Linked DNA regions of Neodiprion lecontei. The protein of the gene in region 1 purifies or fractionates together with the protein of each later gene. This does not show direct contact. Links are inferred from orthologs where the notes say so. Each region holds a gene or a part of one and is shown on either strand. Other genes may lie near its edges.

Evidence for each region.
Region 2: the proteins of intraflagellar transport protein 81 homolog (region 1) and intraflagellar transport protein 74 homolog purify together in Homo sapiens (affinity purification with mass spectrometry; 3 studies listed by BioGRID and IntAct, counting the BioPlex papers as one, with this or other methods). This does not show direct contact. The link is inferred for Neodiprion lecontei from reciprocal best matches to the Homo sapiens genes IFT81 and IFT74.
Region 3: the proteins of intraflagellar transport protein 81 homolog (region 1) and intraflagellar transport protein 88 homolog fractionate together in Homo sapiens (co-fractionation; 3 studies listed by BioGRID and IntAct, with this or other methods). This does not show direct contact. The link is inferred for Neodiprion lecontei from reciprocal best matches to the Homo sapiens genes IFT81 and IFT88.

Annotation. Positions count from the first base shown.
Region 1 is NC_060264.1:23,610,351-23,619,570, forward strand, and holds intraflagellar transport protein 81 homolog, read left to right. Parts: upstream 1-2,677; 5' UTR 2,678-2,769; coding exon 2,770-2,874; intron 2,875-2,952; coding exon 2,953-3,098; intron 3,099-3,319; coding exon 3,320-3,431; intron 3,432-4,164; coding exon 4,165-4,281; intron 4,282-4,374; coding exon 4,375-4,587; intron 4,588-4,658; coding exon 4,659-4,937; intron 4,938-5,139; coding exon 5,140-5,454; intron 5,455-5,536; coding exon 5,537-5,690; intron 5,691-6,142; coding exon 6,143-6,291; intron 6,292-6,410; coding exon 6,411-6,491; intron 6,492-6,589; coding exon 6,590-6,753; intron 6,754-6,815; coding exon 6,816-6,912; 3' UTR 6,913-6,982; coding exon of another isoform or gene 6,983-7,075; 3' UTR 7,076-7,170; coding exon of another isoform or gene 7,171-7,399; 3' UTR 7,400-7,511; downstream 7,512-9,220. Other genes in the region: probable tRNA (guanine(26)-N(2))-dimethyltransferase, read left to right, coding at 246-330, 401-588, 702-924, 1,015-1,308, 1,398-1,565, 1,652-1,810, 1,889-2,079, 2,220-2,409; uncharacterized protein LOC107222349, read right to left, coding at 6,983-7,075, 7,171-7,399, 7,526-7,616, 7,706-7,874. UniProt on the Homo sapiens protein: Component of the intraflagellar transport (IFT) complex B: together with IFT74, forms a tubulin-binding module that specifically mediates transport of tubulin within the cilium. Binds tubulin via its CH (calponin-homology)-like region.
Region 2 is NC_060260.1:40,247,069-40,253,679, forward strand, and holds intraflagellar transport protein 74 homolog, read left to right. Parts: upstream 1-2,777; 5' UTR 2,778-2,856; coding exon 2,857-3,275; intron 3,276-3,360; coding exon 3,361-4,891; 3' UTR 4,892-4,935; coding exon of another isoform or gene 4,936-5,102; 3' UTR 5,103-5,154; downstream 5,155-6,611. Other genes in the region: SLIT-ROBO Rho GTPase-activating protein 1, read right to left, coding at 1,700-1,778; leucine-rich PPR motif-containing protein, mitochondrial, read right to left, coding at 4,936-5,102, 5,186-5,339, 5,465-6,611. UniProt on the Homo sapiens protein: Component of the intraflagellar transport (IFT) complex B: together with IFT81, forms a tubulin-binding module that specifically mediates transport of tubulin within the cilium. Binds beta-tubulin via its basic region. Required for ciliogenesis.
Region 3 is NC_060260.1:5,205,045-5,211,892, reverse strand, and holds the start of intraflagellar transport protein 88 homolog, read left to right. Parts: upstream 1-3,232; 5' UTR 3,233-3,270; exon of another isoform or gene 3,271-3,734; coding exon of another isoform or gene 3,735-4,294; intron 4,295-4,825; coding exon of another isoform or gene 4,826-5,021; intron 5,022-5,144; exon of another isoform or gene 5,145-5,228; intron 5,229-5,527; exon of another isoform or gene 5,528-6,057; 5' UTR 6,058-6,161; coding exon 6,162-6,296; intron 6,297-6,406; coding exon 6,407-6,457; intron 6,458-6,614; coding exon 6,615-6,787; intron 6,788-6,848. Other genes in the region: eukaryotic translation initiation factor 1A, X-chromosomal, read right to left, coding at 574-579, 804-904, 1,181-1,417, 1,660-1,743, 2,006-2,021; uncharacterized protein LOC124295468, read right to left, coding at 3,735-4,294, 4,826-5,021. UniProt on the Homo sapiens protein: Positively regulates primary cilium biogenesis. Also involved in autophagy since it is required for trafficking of ATG16L and the expansion of the autophagic compartment.

The DNA.
Region 1 (9,220 bases):
AGGATCAACTTGACCTCTTAAATAAGAGTTCTCTCAATTTTTTCTATCAGTGATGCTGATTTGTTCCACCTATGCAAACCAACATCACTCTGTCTAACTGTCTGAGTTTAAGTGTTTAAGCAACTTGTTTAAGCGTCAAGGTGACCCTAGTGTCACTCCAAAATTTGTACTATTGATGCATTGCTTAAATAAATATTAAGGGTTTCTATTGTTCATGTCTCAGTGACAATTCATTTTTCTTCCAGTGTCGCCGTATTGTCAATTTTCACTGAAGAAAGAAAGGCTTATCAAAAAATTGAACCTAGCAAGAAGGTTGCTCAAAGGTGTTCGGTGAGTTGGGATTACCATTTTGATGTAATTGATTTCTTTATTTTTGTGTGTTCAATTATCCCATCTACAGGAAGGCATTACGATCTTGGAAGCTCTGTCTGCTACAGGGTTACGCAGTATCAGATATGCCAAAGAGGTTCCGTTCGTTCATCAAATTACTGCCAATGACATTTCCGCCGCCGCGGTAGAGAGCATAAAGAAAAATGTACTCCATAATGGTGTGGGGGACCTTGTAACGACCAGTCACGAAGATGCAACGTGCGTGATTAATTTTTATTCCTTCTATTAAAGAATATTATCTTGACCTCGTATTAATTTTTCCTAGCAACGTGTAATCGCAAATGCTTAAATCTTTGAATTCTCTTTCACAGTATGGTTATGTACCGGCACAGGAGCGATCGATTCGATGCTGTAGATGTGGACCCTTACGGTTCACCTTCGGTTTTTCTGGACGGTGCTGTACAATGCATTTCCGAGGGGGGCTTACTTTTGATTACAGCTACCGATATGGCGGTTCTTGCTGGGAACTCACCAGAAACGTGTCATGTTAAATATGGCGCTATTTCCTTGAAGTCAAAAGCCTGTCATGAAATGGTGAGAGTCATGAATGTCTTGCGACGTTGTTGAATTGCTATGGAACACACGAACGCGGCCTTGACCTGGTAAAGAAAGTAAAATTTTCAGGCCCTGAGGATACTTTTGCAGCATATCTCATCTCATGCAGGACGTTACGGCCGGTACATACAGCCATTGATATCGATTAGTGTAGATTTTTATATCAGGGTATTTGTGAGGGTCTACACAGGGCAAATTGTTTGCAAGGGAGTAGCGAGTAAATTGGGAATGATTTATCAATGCGTCGGGTGCGAGAGTATTACTACGCAACCGCTCAGCATGACAAAGTCTGACAACAAGTACGGCCTGCCAGCAGGACCGCCAGTTGATAAGCTTTGTCACTATTGTGGTCACAAACACCATGTAAGCAAGCAAAAATCCGTATCACAGTGTTGTAGCGATATAACGATAATTTTGCCAAGGAATGTGAAGCAGTAACCTTACTCTTACAGATCGGTGGGCCAATTTGGCTTGGTCCTTTACATGATCGCCAGTTTGTTTCGCAACTTCTGTCCAAAGTGGATACAGGTGAATTTGGAACCAAGAAAAGGCTTCAAGGCGTCTTAAATGTGATTTACGAAGAACTAGACGTACCGCTCTACTACTTACTTGATCGATTAGTAAGAAGACACACAGCATTTGAGTGTATTTATGTGCGGAATTCCAAGAGTTTTAATCAATCATCTATTGATTGTCTCTTTTTCAGATGTCTATAGTAAAGTGCGAGGTACCCCCCATGGTGACATTTAGTTCTGCGCTGATAAACGCCGGTTATAAAGTGTCAATTTCACATGCACATAAAACATCGGTTAAAACCGATGCCCCAAACAGTGTTATATGGGACATAGTTCGAGCATGGGAAAAGGTGGCGTTATATTAAATAGTTAATTATTTGTTAACTGGCTGTATTATTATATCTCATTATGTTTTATTTGTGTTCTAGTTGCATCCGGCCAAAAAGGAAAGGTTTGAATCGGATAGCGCTGCGCTGGCTATTCTTAACACCTCATCTTCACATGAAATATCTTTTCAACCGCATCCCCTTGCTAATCCGGCATCGAGGCAAAAGAAATTATCCAGGTTTCAAAAGAACCCAACCGCATACTGGGGCCCCGGTACAAAGTCGACAATGATGTATGTAATTTGCAATTACTTGACACTCTTCACCGTTCGTATACCTATGTAGGTCTCTCAAAGCTGTGAACTAAGTTTAAACTTTGGTCTCCACCTAAAATTGATGCGGGTATTGACAAAATACGTGTATCCGCTTTCAGGGTGCAGACAAAAGATTCGATATTGAAAAAGAAGAAGAACCAAAATAAACATTTCAAAAGGAAACAACGCTCAGCTTCCTCTGACGAATCTGGCATCATGAAATCTTTCGATTCACCAGAAAAAGGCGACGTAGTTCCAGAAGACGATCAAACGAAACCGTCACCACAGAAACAGTTGAAAAGAGACTGATTAGTTTTACAAACTTGTACATATGTGTTAATATAACTCTGAATGGACATTAAAGTTTATAATGAAGAACAAGTGATTTCATTATATTGATAGCACTACCTCTTTTCTAGTTGAATACTAGTCGTTGAAAAGTATCCAGCTTGGCTCATTTCTGCTTTCAAATAACTTTTATACATCAAAGCGATCAGAGTTTAAAACACCTGCCCAGCAACTGTCGCCTTGACAACGAAGTGGCACAACTGTGAAAAAATATTGATTCGTGTTAATTACATTTACAGCTGTTTCTAGGGTGATGTGACGTCGTGTGTGCAGTGAGCTTGTTATTCTTCTAATACTAGGCTTATTCCAATTGTTTCAAGGATGAGCAAAGATATCAAATTTATCATAGCAGAGCTCAATAAAGTTTTAGATCGAAACTACAATTTGATCACCTTCGATGCATTGCGTTCTGATGATCTATTACAAGTGAGTTTGTGTTATTATTAAGCATGCACAATTTGAATAATGAAAGCAAACATTATCTGACCCTAACAATTTTTATAGGTTCTCAGCGATGTTTTGTCCGAAATACAACAAGATGGTCCCCCGCACGATGTTAGAATGGAAACCCCGGAACAAAACTCTGTACGCATCTTTTCCGCCCTGAGAGTCTTGAAGTATCAACCTCAAGGTGACCCAGCGTTATTCAGGTAAATGCGATATTGATGGTGATTGAGGATGAATGTAGAGACTGACTTTTCTATATCAATGTTTGCTAGTATTTTGCTAACGCCCTGTCCCCTTTTTTCGACTTTCAAGGGCTGTCTACCCCTTCAAGCTAGTTGAAAATGATCAAATTCATTATTTCCCTAGACGCTGCTAACTTGTGAGAACATATAACAAACAGTTGCATATTTGCGAATATCCTCAGGCACGGACTGGTGAAGGGAGAGTCCTCAACGATACATGCCGTTCTAAAATGGCTTCTGTCCAACATGGATATCTCACGACAAAGAGCATATCTGGCCCGCTTTTTGGTGAAGGTGACGATAAATAAAAAGTTTAGGTCATATAAGAATAATAGTTTTTGGCAATATGGCTTTACACGAAATACATACATTTGGCTAACTAATATACACCACAGAATTCCATATAGTTACATCATTTAACGGTATATCTAGAAAGAGTCAACTCCTTTTACGCAACTGGAAAATTGCACTAGCTTACCTATAACTTACTAAACACGTGATTATCCAATAAAATTTAAAAAAGTGTCACATATATCTTTTTTTTTTTTTAAAAAAACGTGTGCAGCTCATATGTGGTAGAAGTGAAACTTTTAGAAACTAAACTGCGAGAGAATGAGGAGAATGCAGTATCAGGAGTGGAATAACTATTCGTTTCATCGATAGTCGTTTCATTTCGTTACATCGATAGTCGTTTCATCGAGTTTCATCGAGTTTCAAATCACTACCACGCTAATTAAGTTAAGTTTTGCATTTCTGTTTCATCAATATTTCCGTTACATCGATCGTCGTTTCATTGAGTTTCACATCACTCCTGTGCTGAAGAAGTTTTCACCAATGGCGCTAAAGAAGTTTTCACTTCAAAAATGTCAAAATTCTGCTGTTAACTAAAAGTGTTTTAATCCGTATGCGAAAGTGGAAAAAATATCACTAGATTTCTTAGACAAGATAAAATTCCTTTAGGTAAATATTGAGCTACTAGATGAATAGTGATGAAATGTTATGTTTGGCTGATTCCCAAATTACACAGGTAGAAGTGCCCACAGAGTATTCAGGTGATCCTGAATTGACAGGACTGTACGATCAGTACGTGAGATTGGTCGACGAATTCAAAGTGATTCACAAAGAGCGAGAAGCGGGAAAGAAGGTAGAATATTTTAACAACATTCAACTAGACATTACAATTTTCCCCCTCTTGGCATGATGAATAATGTAGGTATTCACCCATCATTTTCTTCAGGGTGGTGAGGCTGCGGCAGAACTGAAGAATGACCTGGAAGCGATGCAAAAAGAGCGCGAAGTGATTCTGGGAAGAGTGGAAAAAATGAAACTAAGGGCTGAGAGTGCACCCCAATTGCTTGAAGCTGCTCGGAAACTTCGAATTGAAAGAGATAGGGAACGTGAGCTGGCGTTGCAAAAACGCCAACAACAAGAATCTACAGCTATGTTGCAGGTGAAACGACACGAACATTGCTTCTTGTGATGTCTATAATTCGATTTATTCTTGAAACCTCCCCCACCCAGGTATCATTGCAACGGATGGAACGCGAGCTGCACAATTTGAAGGAAGCTGGAGCAAGTCTTACACCCCAAAAACTGATTCAACGTTTGTCGGAAAAAGTTACCGTGCAAACAGCCATGTCAAGAGATCGACTACCTGCCGAAATAGCAGCAAAAAAGTCTCACGTCGATGCCTTAAGGTTCGTCGCTCGCTCAGTGCACCTGGGACCAGATGATATTATTGCGTTGCGGAATAAACTGGATGTAACTGCTCGCGAAGTACAAACTCTAGCTGAAAACAAGGTGACTAAAGGATATTGATCAGAGTTACAGTATTATACATGTCAAATTTAATGAAGATTTTCATTGTGTTAACGAGATACAGTAACAATTGAATTGGTGATATTTCAAATCGAATTTCGTTTTCTTGGTAGTCACATCTATACCGCATTTTTATGGTTATTGGAAACATAATACTGCACTGGGCGCTTTACGATTATCGCAGGCTACTGGAGGTACAGACAAAGTGGCACCATTCAGGCAGCAGGCAGCGGCAGTTGTTGGAATGAAGCGAACTGTGCTGGACAAGCTGAAGAGATCTGAAGAGACTCTAGAGGAAATGAATGCTCGGTTAGCCGAGCGAAGAGAGGAAGCAAGACAGCTCGCTGAAGAGCCAGCGCCGAGAGGCGACGAACTGAAGCGTTACGTGACGCACCTCAGGGCCAGGAGCACCTTATACAAGCAACACAGAGCGGAGCTTGCTGGCCTTCGAGCAGAGGGAGGAGTCCTAAATCGAACCCTGCGTATATTGGAGGCGCAAGTAATTGTTCCTTTTTTTTTAAAACTCGTTTTCATCTATGCTGGTGATACTGGCTTCTGTGACATCACTCTTTACAACTTAGCTCAGCCGCGTCCGGGTCAGTATCAGCCCCGTGCAAATGGGACCTGCGAAAACTTTACCCAATGGATTCACGGCAGAAAACGTGATCTCAGCCAATGCAGAACTGGCGCGGAATATCTCTGCATTCAGGGCTCAACTAGTCTCGCTGCTGAACGGTAATTACTATTAAATTATTATAGTTCTTCAGGGAGATCCCAAATTTCCTCAATTAAAATTCTCTGACTGTTCATGACAAAAAATTTAGAATTTCCTTTAATGTTGGGCAACTTTTATGACTTAAAGCTCCAGAAATTGTGCAACTTCGATATATAAATTTGCATTTAAAAATACACAAATAATTAAAAATTGAACAATACTATTTCCGACAGCTAGCTTAGCTGAATTTACGAGACATGGCTGAAATTTGAAAACAGTTTATCAAAAAAGTACAATGATTTTCCCTGTCGTTCATCATAATTCTCGGACTTCCCAAAAGACGAAATTCCTTGACTATTCGAGATTTTCCCGGTCTTTCGCAACTCTGTTTTTATAGCATTCACTATGGGGCATGTATGCATGTACAGAAAGTTAGTTGAAAATGTGAAACCTCGGCAATATTTAATTACAGACCTGAGACCACTAAGACAGAAGGCACAGGAAGTAGACGAGCAACACGAAAGAGCTAAAATTAGCCATGGCTCTGTAGAAACGAGCTTGGAGAGCTCTACAGTCGCATTATCATCTGAATTGAATTCTCTCCGAGATAATAATGATAAGGCAGGTTTGATAATGCATACACTATGCATGCATCAGAGAATAAAATACTCGCCACATCCCTAGCATAGGTATCCAAACTACTTTGGTATTCAAAGGTAAATTTATCCCTTTATATGCAGGAGATGGAAGAAATCAAGCAATTGCGCATCAACATATCAAAACTGAAAATTGCTAAAGACAAAATTCAGCAGGAGATGAGGGTGTGTAATATGTTGATTTGCTTTGGTCTCTTCGCACTTCTGTATCAAACAACTATAATCATACTTGACTTGCCTTCCAATCGATGCATCATTTACAGCGCTACGCGAGCCCCAGCAGTGGATCAACACTAAGGGATGAGCTCAACGAAGCAATTCAAGCAGAGGAAAAAAAGCTTAATTTTTTTAAGAATGAAGAAAAATCGCTGAAGGATCAATTGACTAATTGTGAGACGCAGATTCGTCTGTGGGGCAACTTGATATTGTAGGTATATACTTGGAATATCATGCAGAATGGAGTGCTTATAACAACTGGGACTCTTTCAGGATTTACGAGTGCAAATGGCAGTCCGCCGAGGAAATCAAACGCAGAGACGGGGTCGTTGTACGTGGACAAGGAGCAGAGACCTTGATTTTACAGTAATGCAACTATTTGTTTGTGCTATAGTTTTATGACAAAAGTAGAAATGGATAGTTTCAAGTAGGTACAAAACTTAGAAACGAGTTTTAAACAACATCCAAGTCAACAGTCCCAACCCGCTGACCGTAGCAAAATAAAAAGTGGTGCTCCTTGAGGTGCCTCCGTCCTGCAAAAAAAAATATTCATCAGTTTGTTATACGCTTAAGTGCGGTAAGAGTTGTACATTGCCGGTAGAGTCAAATCAAAAGTGGAGTTCCGTACCTCTAGAGACAATTTCAGTTCTTGCAGAGCCGATCGAGCTTCTTCGATCTCAGAAATAGTTGCTGCAACTGCCAATTCCAAAGCTTGGCTACTGCGCAGATTACCGTTTATTTCTATGAAAGAATCCATTTTTTCCTTGTTAAGACGCAATCTGGTATACGTAACAAACGCGTTGATGAGTGATAAATGTTTACCATTATTTTCCAGAGATTCTAATAGCTGGTCTAACCTGGAAAAATCGAAAATTATATCTGTACAAAACTTGTTCGAACGCCATTTATCATACATATTCATTCCTATGCATACATGTTTCAAATGAATACCGACTTTATATACTTTTACTTCATAAACCTACTTTTGTTGCGGTGTTAACACCGTTAAACTGGTACGCCTCAATATTGGAGACAACTGCTTGAGCATACGATGAGCAAGTTCATGGCTTGCACCTGTGACAAAAATTTAAGCATCACATAAGCTGTGATCCAAATAAATAGAACATTAGCACAATATTGAAAAAGGTAAAGATATCGAGTACCGAGTAGCACAAGGTCATCGTGGGTTAAATTAGCTAACATTTCAGTCGATATATTTCTCTCCCTAAATTGCGGTACAAGTTCTTTAGCTCCCATTCCACTCAGCAGGACTGCAGTCTGATTAGTAAATCCAAGAACATCCTCGCACTCCCTAAAGCCTGCCAATTCCATTTTCTTTAGGTGTTTTTTTCATCCAACGACAACTGTTGAACGTTCATTTTTCGAATTAGCTTGATCAGATCACGTGTTTTTATTACAACACCTTGTGCTTTTTTTTTAATTATTATACGGTGTAATGCATGTAATTGCAAATACTGACAATAGTTGATCGCTAACCTTATTTTCTACGGTTTGTTAGCCTTAGATTCCATAGTCTTTGGCCTCAGGTAGAAGATACCCGCAAAATGTACCGTTTGCCTGATTCGCTGGAATACAACTTATAGCAGTTTATATTCACGCAAGATACAGAAAACCAACAGAAGTGGCCTAACTTCGGCTTTCTAGAAATTCGTTATTCGTAGCGCACTTGTATTTACAAACAACCATTGCCGTGGTATGTAAACATGCAAAAACGTGTATACGGTGTATACACTGATCTGTATACTATCTGGATTATAAAAATAGAGCGTGCACTGCGCATTCGGGCCGTACAGAGCATATACAGTACAAGCTCTAAAGCTAAGACTCCATGTTCACCTCCGGCAAACGCATCCGGAAGGCGACTCCATGCACGCGGCAGACTTTAGCGCCACGCCACGTACGGAAATCGAAGATGCGTCGTAAAAATGTATACAAACGATAGATACATAACCTAAAAGAAAGGAATACTCTATCCCATAATTCCGGGCGGTTTCTCACGTAATGAATTACAAGTTCATTCACGTCATCACAATTATATTCCATAGTGGAATGTTTTGTTGATGTTATTGGGAGCTTTCCAGCAAGGAGACACAGTGTGACACTGTGTTAGACGGTCGAACACTGTGCCTTGGTGCTTGTTGGAACGCTTTGAGGTTCTTAATTCAGTCACTAGAGTCCGCTCATGCATTATACGAGAAATCTAGGATCATTGAGCGCTCCAGGAAAAAAAAATTTGTGAAACGCGTGTAGATTATCATTGCATTTAATAAATAAATATAAATAATACCATGCGTCGAAAATAAAATCTCTAACTAAAAAATTGGCAGCAATGAATCCGACACAGTGTCCAACCATGCTCCGCATCTGTATCCGACTTTGTCGTTCTGTGTCGTTGTTGGAAAGCACCATGTTCGACACAGTGTCGCTCTGTGTCGTTGCTGGAAAGCTCCCATTGATGGTTTGTTTTCATAGACAGTTTTGTACGACATAACCTACGTCACGTCGACTATTATTTGAGCCATATTTGAGCCATGATTTGAGCCTTGCCAGATTCCGAATGGTCCCGAAGATTCTCGACTTTAGCCGAATGACGTGCGGTGCTGCGGAAAAATTAAAATATTTTGATCTCAACGCAGTGCGGTGCGGCATGCCGGAGG
Region 2 (6,611 bases), on another chromosome or scaffold:
TAGTTTGATTTTTTTCCACCAGATGACGCATTGCAAGACGACAATCTCAATACAGTATACCTGTCATGTATGTCGACATAAATAAATAAATAAAAATAAGAAAAAAGAAAGCAATTTCATAAAAAAGAAATTAAAACCCTTTCTCGTGATCATATTTACCGAGTCGGAAGATATTACGCTACAGATCTAACCGGCTGGCGTCGCAAGACGTCCACGCTAGCGTTAAACTCCCGCTCGAGAAGGAACCGAACTTAGGCGCTTTGTTTATCTGAACCAAAGTAACGTTAACGCGAACCTCTCATCTCTTTGTTGCAATACGTGGTATGTAGATTGTAGATGTAGCCCGTTTGCCTTTCATTTGAAATCGAGGAGGATGATGAGGAGGGGAAAAATCCCGCGCAGCATCTGCTCTTTCCGGCGCGTCATTCGACAATCCGCTGCGTGTCCCCGACGCCATCAAACCTATTATGTATATACCTACCTATCCTAGGGTCATATATATATATAAGTCTGGACAATAGGCATGTACATCTACCACTGCACACCCGTGCAGGTGTACAATGGGAAATCTTTTCCGTTTGAGACACTTGGAAGACAGCCTAAGCTTTACCAGCAACCTATAACGGAAATTGACTCAACAAGGTTTTTCCAATTTTTTCATCCTATATTAGTATCCTTTCCGATTCTTTCGGTATATCTTTGGACTGTATAGCTCTTTTGCAGTCTTTCTCGAATCAGAAGCTATCCCTGATTAATTGGTCAATAATAAAAGTGCATTTCAAAGGTAATTGTTGCTGCTGCATTGGCTGACGCGGTTAGTGTGCAACTGCTGCGGCTTGTTAATCTTGCGTGTCGCAAGTCCAGAGCGAAAGTATAAACCAGGGTATAAACATATGCCACGTTGTATGTATAAGTTATGCGGTGTGTAAATTACTTGTAGTTTGATACATGCTGTATATATTATTAAAATTACGTACAAGGAGTTGTGGAGTAACTGAATGTGTGATGATAATGCAATTATTAAATGCATGTATGTGTACACCTATCTATCTTCAAGTGTGAGATATCAATGTGCCTACATGCTTTCGAAACATTAATTTCGGACTCGTTTTATCTACGTATGAAAAAAAGCTGCGCCCGAAAAATTCGAATTTCGTTACATTTCATTTGTCAGTTTATTCGATCGGCGTTGTTCTTGACAATGGCGATATTTAGCTGATCGTCAGTAAAAATATAGACCTGTTATACCTATATGAGAAGAAAACAGAAGAGGCGAGAATTCTGTACAACGACAAAAAGTTTTCATTGCAAATGTTTACGTAATTACAGTCATACGTGAGGTATGCGAATCGCTACAACGTGACAATACGTCAGACAATACCAATGTAAATAAACGGTTTCTTTATTGCTACGTATTCTTGGGAATATGTTGAGTTTTCTTTCTCAACTCACGATCGTATAAACATGGACAGGTTTGCAATGTCATTTATACGAATATAAATAGTAATTAAAAATTATGCAAAATTACGTTTGTGCAGCGTAAATTTGTGGTTGACTCGCACAATCAGGCACACATAAAATTTCCCGACGGACAAAACATCACCGGAGCCAAATGACAGCGGAAAGACGTTGAATGCATATTTCGTTGTCCTTTCGGCTACGATGTTGTTTCAGCGCTGTGTGATATTTTATCACTTACTGTTAAAAACGAGTAGCTTCCTTGTCGATCCAAGCCGTTTGATCGGCGATTTGATACCGTCGATCTCCTCCTCGTCCATAATAACCAAGTGATCGTGAAATCTTCGAAAACTTCCGACTTCAGCTCGTCGATGTTACGTGAGCAAACCTCTGGCAATATCCGTACACATACGTGAAATACGTAAACAAAAAATATGAAGATATAAACAATCCACTTGTCACAGATTTGAAAGCATTCTTTGGCACAGGCGATCAGTAAGGTTCATCGGTTGACAAAACCGGTTTAAGAAACCAGGTAGAGATTCGAAATTATATACGCACTGCTTGCTGGCAACCGTTGGAATTTTCTTTAACTCTATTTCTACCGTATGCAAACTGCGCGCTCGGTACCGCGTCCACGCACAACACACAATCAACACATAACAAACACATGCAAACGTGCATACGAGGCACTTGTCTTACAGTTACGCCGCGCAGCAACGCGTTGGTCAATTGTTTTTAAAGTTCTGTTCCGGTCGCCGTTGAGGGAAAAGTCGAATGGAAAGTGGCACCACTGACGGCCATGCGACCGACGTTCGTAGGTATACTGTCGTTACTGGTAATAGTGCAGCCGTCGTAGGTAGCCACTTCGAGGATATTCCTGGACTCGGATATAATGTATTAATTCAACTTAGGGGAACCGCCGCGTCGCTTTGTTGCTTAGCAACTGTTGACTACGCAGAGTCGACTGCTCGAAACGCGTGCACCACCTTTCTCCGTGGACTAATGCTACCCGGCCACCTGTTGGGTGCCAGGGAAACCAAGGTGGTACCATTTTGCCGATAACAAAGAACACTGTCGACAAGCTGCTAGCGGAGTTATGACATGACGTGGAAGGGGAGGTTGTGTTCCAATGAAATACCGTTTCCCCAGAACATATGACGGCCATCTTGGATTTTCAACCAATCGCATTTGAGATAATTTGGTGCACATTTGAAAGGGTGGAAACTTCGCACTTTTACATCATGACGTTGTTGCGGGGTTTACATGGCAACGCTAATTTGTACACAAATAAGAATTCGTTCATACCTGGTGAGCATATGACTACCAGGCAATTGTCAAGTTCTACACCTGCAAATCTCATCCTTCTTAAGAATCAATTTTACTGAATTGCTAATCATGGACCTTGATAGACCTACAACTGGTAGAGGTGCTGAGAGACCACTGACGCGTTGGAGAAGAGAGCAGGAAGACGTTTCCAGGCCGCAGAGTAGAATCGAGAGACCTTCTTCGAGGAGAGGGGCCAAAATGGACAGCCAGGAAATGCCTGTATCGAGTAATTATCGCGCAGCAACTGCTGCAACTCCTGGTAGAAGCGTCGTAGGCCGACCACCTTCTGCTTCGGCATTCTCTGCTAGAGTACTTAACTCCGCTAGCTCCCGGGTCAGCGCTACCAGCGGTGGATCTTTTGCTGTCCAAGGAAGACTTGGAACTGGCCTTCCATCTGCAGCTCAGGTCAATCTAGTCGACAGACCGATTACGCAGCAAGGAATCGCCGGACTTCGGCCTGGGACTAACAGGGGACTGCCCATGACCAGGCAAGGATTTTTGACGGTATAATAAGTTATTAAGAACACAGCGAATATCGTGATATACTTTAGATCGTTGCTTTAAATGTTGCAGACAAGTCCAGGATCGAAGATATTACGAAGGTCTCCTACAATTGAAGATACGAGAACTTACACAAGAAATTGCAGTCATAACGCGGCAAGTCGACAGTCAGAGTAGAGAAAGAGCAACTTTTCTTCACTACGATAAACGAGCCAAAGAATTGGCAGCGGAGCTTACAGAATTGCAGGGGCAACTGGCCGACTATAACATTGTTGTTGATAAAATGACTTTAGACCCTGACAAAAACTCTCTGGAAATGGAGGCTAAATCTTTGGCCGTGAAAAATGACCAAACTATGGCTGAGATAGAAAATTTGTTTGCTCATCGTCAGCAAAAAGAACAAGAGCTTCGGGCCATCGAGAGGGAAGTAGAATTGGAAAAGAAGAATGCAGAGAGAATAGTCGAAGGAATGACTATTGAGCAGCGTGCTAAGTACGACGATTTGACAAAACAAAAAATTGAACTGCAGAGTAGCATAGATGTTATGCAAACAGAGCTGGATCGACTATCTAACGAAAAATCGACCATGGAAGAGCAGATTGCACTTTCACAGGCTAAGCAGGAGGCTGTCAAACTTCTTGTTAAGATTTCAGAGGTTGAAGGAAAACGCGATAAACTACGAGAAGAAGAGAAGAATAGACTGTCGCCAGAAGAAGAGCGAATTCAACTCCTGGCCAAGGTAAAGCAGGATAATGCAGATGTCGCTGCAGCTGAGAGGCAAACAGCTGAACTTAAACGACGTATAGCTGAGGCTGAGCATGAGCTAGAACAGTTGGAAACAGATCTCGAAGAGTGCCAGTCAGCAAGGCATGTAAAGTACAAAGAGATGAGAAAACGAGAAGAGGCAATGGAGCAATTCATGGCCACCTTTGACAGGAGCAAACATGAAGAGCTTGAGAGACTTGATAAACTAGAGACTACAATTGTCGAGCATTTGACACAAATATCAAACTGTGTCTCTAGCGATACTCACTTAACTCCTGGTGATGAGTTGGCAATCCTGAACATCCAACATGCCATCAGCGAAGACCCGGACGTTCCTATTAATGTCGACCAAACTATCGAAGGATTGAGCAGCGAGCACACAAGGCTGCAGCAGAATTTAATAAAAATGCAGAGTCTCGAAAAAAGGCTGAAAGTCGAGTTAACGGAACTGAAAGAAAAAATAGGTAAAAAACAAAGTGAGTTGCTTGTCCTTGAAGATTTGGATGGATTGAAGGCAAGGTTTGAACAAAAGCGAGAAGAGATGATCGCAGAACGGGCAAAACTTCGTGAGCGCGAGCCGTCCATCAAACAGGAACTGGCTTCTGTACGTGGAGAGTACGAGGAGATCAAGTCACAGCTAGACAAAAATGAAACTTATGTACAGATAAGCTCGCTGGAGGATAAACTTGAGAAATTGAAACAAAATAATGAAACATTACAGAAATTCATCAGGGAAGAACGCGAACGAGTGGATTATAACGCAATTAAGAGCAGAGCACTCGAACTGGTGGATCGGTACAATGTTAAACTAAGGGAAAGCGTCAAAGGAATACATTAGTTTATGTACAATATTTTTACTATTTAAGATAATTTCAAATATTGTTAGCGTTTCTCTCTTTTCATCTTTGCTTGTAATTCGTCTGGTAATGAAACTTTCTGCGAGTTCAAGAAGTTTATTAAATTTTCAGTAAATTTTGGTAGTGGAATAATGTCCTCTGCCTGCATTCTATCCCATATTTCTAGCGCTGTTTTGTAATCACCAGACCTACCTGTATGACCACAATAAAATAAAGATTAAAGTCATAAATTGTGATCGAAAAATCTGTCTTGAATTATTTCTCAATTTACTTACTGCACAATGTCAAGATTAGATCGTAAATAATCCGTGTGTCCAGCTTCATCACATTTCTACACGCTTTCAAAATCCCTTGTAAGGCTGTTAAATTTTGCTCAGTCATCAAGTTTTTTGCACTGACTTCCATTGTTTTTTGGTTCACAGCTGGCATCTAAAAAATAAATCGAGTTATTTTAGTACAAGAAAGGTAATTGAATTACTACGAGAAATGATTCGTGTTATAGCAACAGCGATTAGAAGGTCACAATTTTTTTTTAAAATTCAGATTAGTCTTACTTTAATAAATGATTGGAGTTCCTTGTGTTTATTCCTTGCCGCTAATGCCGTGAACAAATGAGAGTTTCCTGCTGCTTCTCCAGAAATACTTTTTATCACCATTAGTACATCTGTCAACTGTTTTTGAGCATCAGGGTTGTCGGTAGAAATATCTACAAGAGCACGTAGCAGTTCTTGTTTCAGAGGTGTCAGTTTATACACAAGTGCACACTCTTTGAATTGTTTAATAGCTTCTTCCAAGTTACCATTTAATAAATTTGTCCTGACCAATGGACTGAGGACATGAATGCTCACTTCGCAATACCCTTTTTCGAGTAAGATATCCAACGTTTTTTTTGTGGCTTCCAGATTTCCATCTGCAGCAACTGCATTCAAAAGTCTCCAGCAGTTTCTGATAGTTTTGGGTCCACTCGTAACATTTTCCTGTTCTCTGAGTACTTCCAGACCTTTTTCGAATTTTTTATTCTTTACAAGAGCTGTAGCATAATCAATTACCTTGTAATCATCGATTATAAAGTCTTTGTGATTTGTCTTCAGATCTCTGAAATATACATCAGCCTTATCGATCATATTATTTGTGACATATAAGGAAAACATGCTGGAAATCATTCCGGACGTCCATTCAAATCCCTTCTCCTTAAACAATTCTGCAGTTTCCTCAGCTTTCTTAAAATTATTTTTTCTACAATAAGCTTGAAGGAGTCTTCGCAGAGTACCTCGTGTATTCATACCCTTAGCCGTTAGGTCAATGAGATGATTCTCCAGTTGTTCAAGACTCATTAATTCAGGGTGAGGTATCCATACATCCGGAATTTCATCATTTGTACTTGTTTCAGCAGTGACTAATTTTTTGAGCGTCTTCATTGACCTCTCAGGTTCCGCTAATTGCAATATTCTTAGCTCCAAAGCGTCTGCAACTGTTTTAGAAATCTTGAGATTGTGTTTGTCAAAGGCAAAAATAAGAGAAGCAAGTTCCTCATTGCTTGCTTTTATTCTTTCATTTGCCATTAGGTCCTCAAAGAATTTTCCATTCTGATCACTATCCGTGTTGATGTTTCTCAAAAATTGTACTGTTTCATTAAAACTTTCTGTCACTCTACATCCACTGACAAGTCTTTCTATGACAATGTACAGATCAAGTTTTACC
Region 3 (6,848 bases), on another chromosome or scaffold:
AAAAGGAAAAATACTATCAATACTAATGTCAAATTACAACCAATACCACTAAGGACGAACTTTACAAATAAATATTGGCAGTGGACTTCTTCGTAGATCATAATTCTCTTTCCGATGAAATCTATGTGTTTATTAAAAACTTGCAATGTGTATTTTCTCGAGGGAATTTTTTGCAGACAGATTTTAACGTAGAGTTAATGACACAAGTTTTATTTAGAAATAATTTGATCTAATAATTTTTGTTTATGCGGTCAATTTGCGACTGTTGAAATAGCAATATATATATATATATAGGCATATAATGTGCATAGTATAATATTACGAGTAACATATTATGCTATTTCGGTCTACATTAAATTTACATATACAAGGGTTGCGTATTACAGATATGACGATACGATGACTGCATTAATCAGTGGTTACAATTGTTTATTTGAAGATACAATTGATCAATTATGTATTGATTGGAAGCAAGCAGAACGCCTTGATTGTGCTCCATGTGATGCAATTTTCACCACTCAATTCTTCTCCTAATCTCCATTCCCTCACCACCGTTGATTATTTTTCGGGTCATCAGATCTGTTCAATAGAAAAATTTTACCCACACATTTTCATTAACAATTCAAATTTTCTGAAGTGTACTTTTGACATAACAAGTCCTGTCTCAAGTCATGTGATATGAAAGATTGAACCATTTTGATAGAATGCAATTTTAGTAGCACCAAATAATAGTTGGGCAATCTTGATACGTTGAAAATAAACTTTCAATCATTTTCTGTGTGAAATAAGATTGTTCGACTTACGTTATCGACGTCGTCCTCATCGTCGTCGCTAATTTCATCACCAAACTCAATATCTTCGTCGAACCCATCCTCGACAAATGTAACAGTATCGTTGATGCGAACTGTAAAAATAAAACACGTTTATTAGGCACTAAATCAAACTCAATCATTTCTCCGTTCAAGATAAAATGAAATTTAAACAGATTTTGAGAACACCGAACGGAAACTTATGATAATTAGATAATTAAAGATGTGGCTAAATGCAATTCTTACTTCATAAATTGAATCAAAATTAAAAGTCTTCGCAAGTTCCGCAATATTTTACATCTCCTACCACCCTTTACTTTAATCTCGATGAAAATAATCTATTTACAAATAACGACCACTCCAAATCCTACCTGTTTCTGGAAATTCTCCATAAGTTTTGAGATTACGAGCTTCGTCAGATGTATATTTGAGAATAACGTCAGCTTTGGCATCTTGGTAATCACGAAGGCCGATCAAAATAATGTCACCTTGATTGATCCAAACTTTTTTACGAAGTTTCCCTCTGATGTGACAAAGTCTTTTAACCCCGTCAAAGCACATCGCCTCAAGTCTTCCGTTACCAAGCATCTTGGTTACTTGCGCGTATTCTGTAAAAAAAAAATACGTCAGTATTTTTTATTCCATTATTTTTCGTTCAATACTATTTTGCTCATGAAAAAAAATATTGTGCAAAGTTCATAACATTTCTTTGAGTCACCGATCAATTTGTCTTGTAAAATGTCGAAACATAAGTTGAAGAATAATAATATATCGGATAGATTAGCTTGCTTGCAAAAGTAAATAGGCCTGTGTCATAAGGCATATCATGAACGTGCGTGTTTTTACTTACCTTGGCCATCTTCCTTGAATACCAGCTCTCTCTTTTCAGTTTCATTCTCGTTCTTACCTCTTCTCCTGTTTTTACCTCCCTTTCCTAATAACACAAACACGGAATATATCACTCATCACGAGCGTCATTGTCGATGACGACATTAGAGGAGAAAAAATTATGCATTTTTTTTTTTATCAAGGTGCATCGACTATTTTTAACGCCAGAATGACACTGGCAGGTTATATACCAAACTTAACCACATTGTTCGATAAATCGTGCCAGTCATTCGATTTTGATGGAAGGTTAATTTATGGGTTCTTCGACTTCAAATGATTTTTAAAAACTTGCTAATACTCTGACTTACCTTTATTCTTCGGCATATTTTAGTTATTAACTCCAATTAGATGATGAATAAACAAGTATGTTCAACTTTAATGAAAATGAAAAGAGCACTGCATCACCATGCCAAACCCGCAGAAGAAAGAGGACTACTCTATGCTCAAATCAGCTATGAATATCGTCCAAAATAGCAACCTTTTATTGCCGAATAAACTTCTCGAATACCAATCATACGATAATTTGCTAAATATGAATTTAATTGTTTTCCCCGCTTCGTATGTCTTCAAAACATAATCGAAAATTTGTTTATCATTTTGTCATTTGACTTGGTTCATGCAGGAGAGGGAAATTCGAAATTCATTCAAGTTTTTATTCTTTCGTCAGTATTTTTTTTTATTGGTATAAAATTAAAAGATATGTGAAAATATTGACTACCGCAATTACTCTCATTATTATCGTATGATTTATTCCATATTTATTTACTTTCTTCGCTTTTAGTCACGGAAATAGGCTACGGTAAAATCATGCGAGTTGGGTCTCTCTGTCACATTCATGCCATTTTGTCCAATGGTATTTCTTTCGGGATGCGTGGCGTCTCCTTGCGGTTATGTTGATACCTATGTGAAGTTGGCGTCCGACCTTCGAATTTCTTGAAAATTTTAATGCCAAAATATTGCTTTCTGATTGCTCATAATTACAGTCAAACTTGTATTACTTGCTCGAACATGATTTTCGAATAAATATATATATAAAAAAAAAAAAATGCATTTCCGGGAACGGAATTGAATTCAGGAGTGGAACGTGATTTTTATAAAGAAATTATATATGATCGTGGACCGTCTTGTAACGTTCACTTACAAAAATATAATACTGATGTTTTTGTATTATTATCATGCAACGCATTGGTTGTATAGTGAGGCCTAATGGCGTACAACGCAACATGTTTAATATGACACGATTTATTGATGAATACTTTTTTACAGAAAAGTCTTAGAATTTAAATCGACTTGCTTATAATATAAAACTTTTGCAAAGAAATTTTGTGTTGTGATGATAATGAACAGAGTATAAATGAGATAAATTAGTAAGGCATTGAAATTCAAATAAACTTAAGGAATTTAATTACATTTTCACAGTTTGATCGATTAGCCAAACAGTATAATTGTAAATCAAAATGTGGATGCTTACTCTTGTCATTATTATAAAAAATAAATTCATGCAATAAATAATTCTTGCGATAGTATAAAAAATAAATTCATGCGATAAATAATAAAAAATAAAAATAACGCAGTAAGTATTTAACATATTTTCTCTTTCATTTTTTTTTATTCAGCCTCTTGCCAATTTCTTTCTTTTAATTGATTCAATTTGCCAAACCTAGAGTGACAGTCTTCGAGTTGCATGTAAATGATGTCCCAGAAACATTGCAAGTCGTCATTGGTTACCAATTCTTCTTGCGAACCAGTTTCACATTTGGTTACGAGTTTTCGAAATAGTTTTACCTCTTTGTTGATCAACAGATTTGATCGACCAATTACGTGATTTATCATACATTGAGCATCTTCTGGGGTATCAGGTGCAGATGTTATCATCATCCAATCCCAACAGAGAGCTTTTAGTCTCATAACTTCTCCGTCTGTGACTTTTCTAAAATATAGTGGTGTTCGCTCTTCATTTTTTTCAAACGCTGCAGCAGTTAGTAATTCATCACGTTCAGATTGCATTAGCACAGTATCAGTCTTAGTGTTGGGTTGCTACAGCAGTTTTTGTCTTAAAGCTTTTTTCTTTCGAGCATAGAGAATACAAGGAGAGCAGAATTTAGGAGTAACCGTCGTGTAAAGATCTTTTTTCGGCTGTTTCAATGCTGCCTGATCAAGCAAATGCAGGGACGGTAAACAGGCCGGCGGTCTAAACGCATAATTTTCTGGTGCAAATGAACTGCCTGGAATATTTATTATTTCAATACTTTTTGAAGCTTTGTGTACGATCCCTTGGTCCAAAACTTTTGTGATTATTTTTTTATTCCTTAAAATAATAGTAGCATCAGGTGAACGTGCCTTCATACAAGCTTCCGATGCCAGCCTTTTTGCAGTGGCTCTAGTGATTCTGGGTGACATCGTTGACTTGATAGGTTTAAATGCTGACAGACTTTGGTGTAGGAACATAGAGGAATTTAGTTTATCGTGACAAACTCCAACACACAATACTGGTGGTTTCATTGCTTTTTGAATTTTTTTTTGCAAATCTCTTTTTACCCTCCATCTCAACAATTTCATTCGTCTATCTTCTTGGACGATTTGATTTTTAGGTCCATCTGTGAAAATTTTTTATTCCATTGATGGTAAAATCTTGCCAATGTGTTAGTAGGATTTCAAGATAAAATTATTTTTTGATAAGAAAATTTCAATACAAAATCGTAAGTACATCAAACTAAGTGATATTCTGAAAAATGAAAAAACAGTGCAAACCCCTAGGTCTAAATTTTCTACCTCTGCCCATGATTATACCGAGTTGTACTCAGAATTATACCATGGACATTAGTGGTGACGGTGGGCTAAGTTGAGTACTTGTATCAAATGTAATGCTTTTATTTCTGTATAATATTTCTGTCAGCTGACTGTTCGTAAAAAAGGTCCCGCTATGCTTGTAGTATTATGCTATTTGTTTCCTTTACATGGTTGAACTAAAAGGGTAGCTGCGAGAGATCAATAGTTATTAATTCAAGCGAGACAATGGTAATAAAACGGTAATAAACAGTGATAACGGTTGATATTTTAGGAACAATGACGAGTTAGCTAACGAAAGAGAAAATGTTACCGAATAGAAAAATGTACTAGACTATTACCTTGTACGTTTTCCATGCGCCCGATGCTGGATGTAACCGGAGAACCTGCTCCGATGATTTTTCTATTAACATTATATGCGTCCAAACGCCTTAGTTTTCTTGCATTTTCTTTTTCAAAAGATTTTATAATTCTCGACTCTTCTAAATTGCCGAATCCAGCCGCTTTTTTCTTATAGTGTGTTCTAAGACCTGCCATATTCTCTGTTGCTCATGATCAGAAATAATGACTGACTACCGAGATAGTTGACTGCCTCTGATGGCCTGGTAAGAAGAAGGAAGAGATCTGTCCTGTGGTAAACACGACATCGAACATAACAAGGATTAAATACCACCTCGCTCGCATTCTAAGCACAAAACATATACCACATTCTGCAAATAATAACACGTTTCCAACAGAGCGATGGTAAGAGCTAATGTTGACAATTTTTCTCAAAGATGAACAATGAATCATTAGTAAATCATCTGTACTTTTTGGGTTGACATGCTTTTCACTTAATTAATAATAATAAAAATCGATCACGTGCACTTGTAATAATCTTCTTTTTTTATGTCGATCTTATAAAACGTTATAACTAGAACAAATTTGACAGTCAACAACAATAATAACAGAAGACTTTAATGGGACGTTATGTATAATTACGTCTGTTAAACGTTATAAATCAATGGATAATTAATGCTTAATCATTTATAATAATAAAGTTAAATAACTTATATATATATCTGTATATTCTTTAATTCATTCAACAAGTCCTAATACATTGCATAAATGACCTTCTTGTGATTTAATAATATCTCTAGAATGGTGATAGATACAGGAAAACTAATGAAATTTGGTAGGTTTCCTAAAGGCGAAATTAAATCGGGCAGGTAATTAGTCCATTATAAAGACTTCCCTGGATTTTTTTTTTAATTATAATCTAATTCTAATTTTCGAATGTCTAATATAATTTGAATGTGAGCGAGGTGGTATTTAATCCTTTGTTATTGTTAGATGTCGCGTTGATCGAGTGACAAATTGTAAACGCCAGCGGCCAGTTGCCAGTTGCCAGCGACGCGAGTGATGCTGTCAAATGTGAATTAGAAATTTACTGTGGCAAAATTGTTGTTTTAAAGTTTGATAATAATACGTCAACCGGTTAAAAATACTTTGTTTACGGGGTTGATAGGTGGATGGATTATCTTGCGAAGTTTTACGCGGTAAATCAACGTGAATTAATAACGCGATTAAATAGTTTTGCAGAGAGCTACGACCTAACCTCCAAAATCGAGGTAACTGCGGTTTGCAAGTGAAATACGCAACAGAGATAATCGGATTGTTCAAGAAGAACGGGCAGCAATGACGACGCTCATACATGACGATGATATTTATTCTGGATACAATGACTATCCTTCGTTATTCAGCACTAAGGATTTGGACCAGGATGAATTATATCAAGACGCGATTAAAGCCAGCTACGCAAAACGCCCCATTGTAAGATTTCAAACACGTCTTTAACCTAAGCAATACTCTAATGTAATAACGGCATCTGATACATTGTGAAGGGTGAATTAGATCTCGCGTGATGTCGTATTACGTTTCAGATCACACCGAAAAAACCTGGCACTGCTATGCGTCTTGGAACTTCGAGCGGAGTGAGTTATACTTCACTGCATTATCATCAATACACAATCCTCTGATATAGCCCATATGAAACATATCTGACAAATATTTGTTATACTGCTCATTAAGAGCACAGTTTGGTCAACTACTAAGCTCAACGCTAAAAGTCTGCAATTATTGCTGGTGTAGTTTCACAGAAACGGAACTGGAATGATCGGCAGGCCAGGCACAGGTCCAAGGCCAATGACTGCGGTGCGTGGGGCTGGCTATACCAGCAGTAGTAGGCAACCTTTTGATCCATTGAATATGAACAGTAGTTCGAGAGGGCCTGCACCACCGTTAGAGACGGGTAAAGAGGATACGTAAGTGATTTGTGTTTGAAGATTAAGCGGGTTGATTCAGCCAGATTTTTCTGTTATTTTA